Linked DNA regions of Nothobranchius furzeri. The protein of the gene in region 2 interacts with the protein of the main gene of each other region in a biochemical or structural test. Links are inferred from orthologs where the notes say so. Each region holds a gene or a part of one and is shown on either strand. Other genes may lie near its edges.

The links. The genes of interacting proteins can lie anywhere in the genome.
Region 1: the proteins of flt4 (region 2) and vegfd form a complex in vitro, tested with the Homo sapiens proteins (2 studies listed by BioGRID). The link is inferred for Nothobranchius furzeri from reciprocal best matches to the Homo sapiens genes FLT4 and VEGFD.

Annotation. Positions count from the first base shown.
Region 1 is NC_091749.1:41,122,615-41,127,153, forward strand, and holds part of vegfd (vascular endothelial growth factor D), read right to left. Parts: intron 4,225-4,539; coding exon 4,020-4,224; intron 3,898-4,019; coding exon 3,777-3,897; intron 1,769-3,776; coding exon 1,699-1,768; intron 1,616-1,698; coding exon 1,488-1,615; intron 1,399-1,487; coding exon 1,283-1,398; intron 1,165-1,282; coding exon 999-1,164; intron 490-998; coding exon 471-489; 3' UTR 1-470. UniProt on the Homo sapiens protein: Growth factor active in angiogenesis, lymphangiogenesis and endothelial cell growth, stimulating their proliferation and migration and also has effects on the permeability of blood vessels.
Region 2 is NC_091741.1:101,870,234-101,874,772, reverse strand, and holds part of flt4 (vascular endothelial growth factor receptor 3), read left to right. Parts: intron 1-2,077; coding exon 2,078-2,437; intron 2,438-2,818; coding exon 2,819-2,965; intron 2,966-3,567; coding exon 3,568-3,699; intron 3,700-4,374; coding exon 4,375-4,481; intron 4,482-4,539. UniProt on the Homo sapiens protein: Tyrosine-protein kinase that acts as a cell-surface receptor for VEGFC and VEGFD, and plays an essential role in adult lymphangiogenesis and in the development of the vascular network and the cardiovascular system during embryonic development.

The DNA of each region.
Region 1 (4,539 bases), on a different chromosome or scaffold from region 2:
AGGTAAACAAAACAGAAAATAAACTACAGACCTTCTTCGATACACGCTCCTTGCTTGTTATCGTGTGGACTTCCGAAGTCACGTGTGGTATTGTAATTCTCCCGTGATTTTGCGACCTCGTGGGACCAGCTATGTGGAATGTTTTGGCTTCCATTTTGTGTCTGAATGGCTGTGAGTTGGAAGGGAGCTTGCGGGGAAAATGCCTCTATGACATTACACGCCACTTTTGCATCTTTTGGAAAGTCTGGGTTAGGCTCCTTATTGCCTACATTATTTCACAGCACAAGGTAAGCCTATTACTTTTAAGGAATAAAAAAAAAACATAAATCCTGAAAAGGAAAAACTCCAGACTGAAGTTTTATTACAGTGATCTCCATAAATAGTACTGAAAATAAATTATAGGAAATTATTTTCTCTGTTGCTGTTTTAAGATGAGCAACTTGTCAATAAATTTAATCCCTGGTGAACTTCTACTTGGGTGGTCTGCATCTGTTGAAAAAAGAGGGAGATTTTTTCATGAATGATGAAATCTACATTGACGTAAACACATTAGAGTACAGATCATCACCTCATCACAAATTTGTCAACCTTCTTTTTGAATTAACTCAGGAAGAAACAATGCGTTTGTGTTTTCTTTTGACCTACAGAGAAGCAGGTTTGCTCCTAATGTGATGGACGCTGAAACCCTTAACCCTAACCTAACAGCAGCTCTAAACCCTAGCCCAAAGCCAACAGCAACATTTATCACAAACTTTCCTAAAAAGCGTAAGCTTCTTCAAAAATTAACCAAAACATACGTTACAGCTTGCCACTCCAAGTGAACACATCTTACCGTTTGCATGAAAGGTGTCAGGTGTTAAGAATTAATTTAATGAGCTTTTATGTTTTCAGAGGCAATTAACTCTCATTTATAATGTTCCAGTATAGAGCCTTGGCCTTGATCTAACGACAGATTACATAATCAGAAGAACAAGAGACGATTAGTTCAGTTGACTCACCTGCGTAAGGCTTTATCAAAACGCTGATGCCTGTGGGCACAGATGGAAGAGTTGTGCTGACACCGGTGGACCGGTCTGGGCTGGAGAAGAGGCTCGGGTTTGGGGAGGCAGTCACACCGCTCCACATCTATCTCACAGTCTGGCATCCAGGAACTGAGTGGAAGCACTGTGTGAGACATGGCTTTTAAATGAAAATACTAAAGCAGAGGTTTTTGACTAGAAGCATACTCAATTAACTTAAGAGTTTATTGCGTCGTGATTTGGATATATTTCCATGCACTCACCTGGTCCAGTGGAGGGGTAGGGTATGCATCTCTCAGAGGAACAATCCCAAATCCAGCCAGTGGCACACAGTCTCCTGGAGTCCTCAAACTCTGACAGCTGGCCCATCAGAGAACAGCTATATCAACAAAAAAAAAACGTAAACAGAAATTTTTATTTAAATCTTTTTGAGAAACAGTACTATTAGTAATGATGATTTGGACTCACCCGCTGCTCCGCTGTGGCTGAGCATTACGGCGGATGATTGCAGGCTCCATGCACCTGCACTCAGTGTGGTTGGCTACTTTTATTAACACAGGTTCTGGTACAAACTTGAAGGGAATCACACTTAGGAGCTAAAATGTACAATCACACAGACAGAAAGTTGAGCTTGATTGACGCTGCTGATTAAACCCTCAAAAAAATGGAAGACGCTCACAGTTTTGTTGACATATGCAACAGAAGTGTTCCTGCAGGTTACACCCTCTTGATTGCAGCAGCCGCTGCACCTGCCAGCAGAGCAGGAAGACAAACTCATGTCAGAATAAAGCAATGAGCAAAGACTAGACTGAGACTGTTGAATTTAATTTGGCCTTTGTAAACCTGATGAAGGACCAAAGTTTTATTTTGTATAGGCTTTGCCCTTTAAGGCTGGTTGTGTCAAATATTTCTCAATTAACCAATCACTAAAGAGCTTTTAATATACGCCCTCATACTGGGCAGCCCCAATCCAGTACAAGAGGGGTATAAACCCACCATTGCTCTCCCATTCTCTCTTCACACAACCTTTTTGCTAAGTGTGAATGTTTGCATTGTTAGGTTGCTAACACGTGGCCTGTAAATGGCTTGTATTTGATGTAGTGCCTTCTAGAGGTGCTTTACAACACAGTCAGTCATTCACACACACATTCATACCCTGGTGGTGATGAACTACATTGTAGCCACAGCTGCCCAAGGTATACTGACAGAGGCAAGTCTGCCGTACTCAGGCTTCACCGGTCCCTCCGACCACCAGCAGGCAAGGTGAGTTAAGTGTCTTGCCCAAGGACACAACGACAGCGACAGACTGAGCGGGGCTCGAACTTGCAACCTTCCGATACAGAGCAAGCACGTAACATGTGCCACAGTCGCCCCAAAGGCAATCCACGTGTTATAATTTGGAACAGATTACCGTCCGGACTTTCTCTACGTTACAGTGACCTGCAAGCTTTCGTGCATTGGCACTCAGTCCACCTCATTGATATGCGTTTGCAGTGTTTCACAAATCACTATGATGCATCTGTCTCCTGTTTTTTGCTTCTCTTCCAACATACGGGGTGATTGCACCGGCCAGAGTGGCTTTCTCTGATGTGAGAACTTTTTTCTTCAGTCACCCATCAACCTGATGGCTGTGGAAGCCGTTCGGGTCCCTAGAGGCAGGGGTCCAGCGGATATACGTACGTGTGCTGTCCCTCCGTTCACCTGAGACCAGCTCAGACTCTGCTTCCAGCTTCTCACGCTCTCCTCTTGAGGTGACCCAACCAGTCTCGCCTCCCCACTGTCTTTACCCCACAGCCAGATCATCTGGCAGGAAGGTAAGGGCCACCAACACCCAATATGGCCATGACGCCTACTGCCTAGGTTCAAAATATAGGCAACAGCTGACCTAGTTTCTCTTCCAGCACTCTATTGCCGGGTGAAGGAGGCCTCTGAGCGTTGTTTTTATCACCCATTCCCCCCAGATAGCACATGTAGGTGCGCCCCATTTGGAACATATATGGACAAGCCATATGGTTCCCACCAGGGTTTGTCCACAGTTTCCACAGTGGCCCCACAGGGGTTTGCCCACAAAGAATCTAAACTCTCTAAAAACCCATGCAGGGCCCATTAAAATCTATGTGGGCAAAGAGCTTTCTGGGCAAACTCCTGTGGGGCCACCATGAAATTAAAGAAAATCATGGACAAACCCTGGTGGGACCCATACGCCTTGCCCATAAATGTTCCATATGTAGTGGGCTCCTTCCGAACCTGATGGGGTTTTGGTGCTGGTGCTGCAGGTCAGCAATAACCTGCCCCGACCCTGTGATTGACGGCACTTTTTACAACAGCCTCTTGCTTCGTGTTCTGTCTTGCCCCTCCCCATTCTGTAGGATGGTGGAGAAGTAACTAACATCGTCGGAACAGTGTTCCACCCTTGAGCTAGAACTGCGGGACCTCTTGTCTAGGAGGTCATATCCGGAGTCCCCTGGATGAGGAGAGTTCGGATTGTATTATTGTCATTTCTAGTTCTGAAATAAACAAGAGAAATGTGACCTGTTCTCGACCTGTGTCTATTCAACTGTTCCATCATGATGAAACACTTCTGCATGCTCGAAGAAACAGGTTTTGGATTACGTGCACTAGGAGGTCTGGTTCACCTTCATAAACCTGAAGAATGCCCAGTAGGCACATATTAAAGCTCTCAGTGACTGGGTAATCAGGATATCTGGGGTTACAATACAGATGATCATTCTGAATGCGTGTTTAATCCAAACAAACCTGTGGACAGACACACAGGGAGGCTTGAAAAAGATGGTGGGGTCAGTGCCCAGCTCCTTGGCTACATCAACACAGGTCTCCCTGGGCATACACTGAGTACGCTGCCACTCTTCATCTATGGCTGAACACACACACACATGCACGCACACACAAATGCACACAAACATACAGACACACACGAACATTAAACCCTGCAATTTATGAAGTTGCACATAATGTACTACATCATATCTTTCATCCAACCTTTAAGTATCTCCAGGTTGTATGATTCTGCAGCGTAGCGAGTGGAGCGGTGTGACCCCACTGAAGTAGGAAAGGAGAACGTTTCTGGCTGTTGCATCCTCAGACGACACTTCCATAACTTCCAGTCTGGAAAGTCTGTGAGTCTCAGCAACTCATCCAAGTTCGACGCTGACCGCACCTCTTTTTCCCACTGCCTCATCACCTGCTGAGATTTAAAAGCAAAAACACAGATCAGAAGGTTTCATGGTGACATCATATTTGGATCATATGGATCGCTACTGGAAGACAAGATGAACGGTTCTCTACAAGGACTTGGCTCTCAGTGTTCATGTTGAAAACCCATTCAAACAATTTGATTTGTTTGTGAGCGTCACATCACTAAGATGCTCTGAAAGAAGCAGTTCTACAGTGGCACAATTAGACCTAAACCAGACAACTTGCATCACTGTTTGTGTGACATAATAGCAGCATTATTCAATTCAGTGATGGCTCTTGTATATAAGTTGTTCAACAGTCTGGT
Region 2 (4,539 bases):
AGAAGTACAAAGATGCGGAACAAGCATTTTATTCGTAGGCTGAAATGACAAGGAACGTGGGTTTAGAGGTACCAATCGCCTGAAGAGATGGAGGACAATGAGGGATAAATGTGTCCATGGTTAAAGTCTCCGAAATACATTGAAACAATATAAACACTATACAAAATCTTAGACCAGATACGTGCCAGTAATGGTGACAGGTTACCCAAAAAAAGCACTACATCCTTTGTTGTCCTGGCGGGGAATTGCTTTGCAACAATCCACATGTGATGTAGAAGTCTGAAGGAAAAGCCTCTCTGTGAATCTGTTTGCGCGACTCACACTCGAGCTGATGGAGGAGCAGAAATCAGGCTTCAGTCTTGTCTTCATTCAGCTGTAGAAAGCTCCCAGCCATCCAGGTTTTAATAGTCTAAACAGGAGAGTAACAGCTGCAGCTTAGACATCTCATGGGGCTTAAAGGAGATGTAGAGTTGGATGTCATCTGCATAAAGATGGTAGGAGATTCCTTTAGAGGAGCTCAAGATGTGCTGAAGAGGAAGCAGATAGAGGAGGAAGAGCAGAGGCCCCAGCACAGAACCTTGTGGGACACCATGGGTAAGAGAGGTGGTGGAGGACCTAAACTTGGAGATGGCCACAGAAACGGAGCGCTCAGACAGACAACAGGAGAACCACTCCAGAGCAGATCCTGACAGGTGTACCCAGTCCCTCAGCCTAGTAGCAGGTGATGGTCAACAGTGTCAAAGGCTGCAACCATCCACTACAATGTCTGGTGGTGTAGGTTTCCTCCAGATGGATTAAGACACAGCTTCCAGAAAGTTCTGCTTTTTGTTGTCTTTTAGCACAAGTCATGACCCTTGACTTCAACCACCTGCAGTACTTTAGATGTTGTTCTGTGTTTTCTTTAGAGCCAGGATGTGTTGCTTTTTAGGTCCTACAGTGATCAGTTTGGTTAGCTTTGTAACAACAGTTTATGAAATAGTAATTTTAGAAAATGCATTTTGTATTTGCTCAGGTTATCTATGTCAGATGTCAAACATTATTGTCTGACTGTGATTTCTGACCCAAACCCCCAATGAGGAAATCTTTGAGGGGCCGATTATTCACAACACTCCTGGTTGCTGTAGAAAGTCAGATTCAAGTTAGGAAGGCTCACTACATTTTACAAACTGTAAATTAGCATTTTGATGCGCACCAACAATTGCATAATATGTATAGATTTCCCATTTTAATCAGTAATAACAATAAAATATGATGATCCTCCTGGTGTTTGCTTGACATTTGTGTTAAAAACATTTAGCCACTCCTCAACAGAGCTTGAATTTATTATGATAAAATAAAACATTTTTAAAATCATCACAAACAGTTGGAGCTTGTCTTAGTTCCTATGGCCTTTATGTGTATGGCACCAAAGTTTATTCCCTGTAGCACTTTAATGCCAAAGAAATTACTGTAATAAAACTTCACCAGGTTGAGAATGGCCTTCAGCATGTCCAACTGAGCGGCACAGGCAAGACTTTATTGGGATGCTCAAAACGAAGACCGTTCCTATCGACATTCCTGGGTTGGACTCCTCTGGATTTAAGTGAAAGCGTTCCCTATATATTTTTTTTGTTGTAATTGGAGGAATTGATTTATTTATTATAAATCTAAATATATTATTTAGGGCAGCAGTAGCTCAGGTGGTAGAGCGGGTTGCCTCATGATCAGAGGGTCATGGGTTCGATTCCAGCTCCCGCCAGGGGTATCCTGCTGTTGTGTCCTTGGGCAAGACACTTCACCCAACTTGCCTGTGTTAGTGGTGGTCAGAGGGGCCGACGGCGCCAAATGGCAGCCTCGCCTCTGTCAGACCTCCCCAGGGCGGCTGTGGCTACAAGTAGCTTACCATCACTAGCAGTGGGTGAATGTGAGAGTGTGTGAAAGCGTCTTTGGGTGTCTAGAAAAGTGCTATATAAGTTCAATGCATTATTAATATTATTATTATTATTATTATTATTATTATTATATAAAGAGTGCTTTTCATCATTTTACATCATAAAGCCTCATCTTGACCCCTCACTGCCCCCTTTCATCTTTGAAGCCATCCCTGAAGGCTTCAGTGTAGATGTCCATCCCTCTGAGACCCCCCTGGAGCAGGAGAACATGTCTCTGCGCTGCAGTGCTGACAACTACACCTACGATCAGCTGCAGTGGTACCGTCTCAACCCCCAGGCTCTGCAGGACCAGCAGGGTAGGCTTCCGGAGCTGGACTGCAGCAGCATGCACCGGTACGCTAAACCCCTTCAGGGCGAGCTCTTCTTCCAGAAAAACTCCAACAGCTGGGTGTCAGACTTCACGGTCGAGTCCGTGCGGCTGCCGGATGAGGGGCATTATGTGTGCACGGCTCAGAGCAGGCGCAGTGGCGAGAAGCAGTGTCTGTTCAGATACATCTCTGTCAAAGGTGAGAGGAAGGAGGAATAAATACAAGCATCAAACACACAGATTCACATCCTGTAAATGTTCAGCCCAAACACAGCTAATTATAGAGCAGAACTCTGTGGAGGAAACACACACACACGCACACACACACACACACACACACACACACACACACACACACACACACACACACACACACACACCGAGGCACTAACACATTTTTGGAATTCATTCATGTTCTCTGCTCTGGATCACCTTGCATCACTCCCCCTAGGACAGATGTACATTTTAATAGGATTTTGTAGATTATTTTTCACGTATTATTTACTTTTGCTTTTTCAATCGTACAAGACTACAGGCCCATGGCTCTGACGATGACCGATGCTATTGATTTATTTTCTAGCCCTGGAGGCGCCGCGGTACAAGCACAGCCTCACCAACCAGACGGTGAACATTACCGAGTCTCTGAGGATGGAGTGTGATGCAGACGGCCGACCTCTGCCCCATCTCTCCTGGTTCAAAGACAACCAGCCCCTCCACCAAATGTCAGGTGGGAAAAACACACCTACACACTCGTTAACACAACTGGGCCCACCTTCTGTATCAACCACCCACCCACCCACACACACACACACACACACTGGCTGGAAGTCAGAATCATATCCTAGTTGAAAACTGGTGGATTGTTTGTTTAAATATTGAAATTAATATGATTCATGATTTGGTAGCACGTGGAGTGTGTGTGAGTAAATGTCCAGTGAATGGCTGATATTAAAATTCAGCCTGACTGTCATTACTCGGAATGTGTGTATGTGTCTGTCTGTGTGTGTGTGTGTTTGTGTGGAGTGGGGGGTGGGGGTGGGATTCTGCATTTAGCCTGTCTGATGAGGTGCACACCTCAAGCGCACGTTGGAGACAGGGAGCATTGCCGACCAGCGCTCATTTCTATTCTCTGTGCTATTCCTCTTGAGGTTCTGTGGGTTTGATTGACAGCCGATGCTCTGGGTTTAGTCAGACATGAAGCCTGACGTGTAGAGTGATAGAATAATAGATATCTGGAGTTGTGACTCGATCCCCCCCCTTCCCCCCTCCCCCCAAAAAGTGCTGTTTAATAACGTTGAGGAGTCATGGAGTCATGCATTAATCATGCAGGGGTCCAGCTGCAGGATTCAAACCGCACCTTGAGCATCCAGCGGGTCAGAGAGGAGGATGCTGGACTTTACACCTGCACCGCCTGCAACCAGCGAGGCTGTGTCCAGTCTTCAGCTGCTGTCAGGGTCATCGGTGAGACAGCAACACACGCACGCACACATGCGCACACACAAACACACACACACACATGCAAACACAAACACATAAGCATGCACACACACAAAGACACACACACACACACACACACATAGTTCATGCCCTCTTTACCCTTGAAAAGTGCTCGTCGTTACTCTACTGCCGCTGACGGCCGTGTGCTTGTGCTCTCTGCTCTCCAAATCAAACCCATTGACTTGTTGGACGTTTTGTGTTCAGAATGAATCATTAAGAGGAATGACTGGAAGTGGTTTCCACAGAAGACCCAAACACCTTAAAAGTCTGCTCAGCAAACTGATTCCAGCTGGGCGACTCCAGTCCTCGAGGGCCAGTATCCTGCATCTTTTTGTTACTTCCCAGTTCCAACACAGTTGATTCAGCAGCTCATCAAGCTCTGCAGAAGCCAGCTAATCTCCTGCTGATTGAAATCAGGTGTGTTGAAACAAGGAAAACAGTAAATCATGTGGGATAGTGGCCCTCGAGGACCAGGATTGCCCGCCCAAAGGTTACTGGAAAGGAGCTGGGGTCAATGTTTTGTAAGGCAGTGCCCCCTGTAGACGCCTTGGGGTATAAGCTGTGTCAGGGTGGGGTGTTGTGTTTTAGTGGTAAAACCATTTATACCCACATGTTGTTTTTTCTGATCTCTGCGATCAGGTTCGAGTGACAAGGCCAACGTGGAGATCGTGATTTTAGTCGGGACCGGTGTCATCGCAGTTTTCTTCTGGGCTTTGCTCATCCTCATCTTCTGCAACGTGAAACGGGTCAGAGAGCACACACTTTTCTTCCTCCCTGTTAACCTATAACCCCTGTCATTTTAAA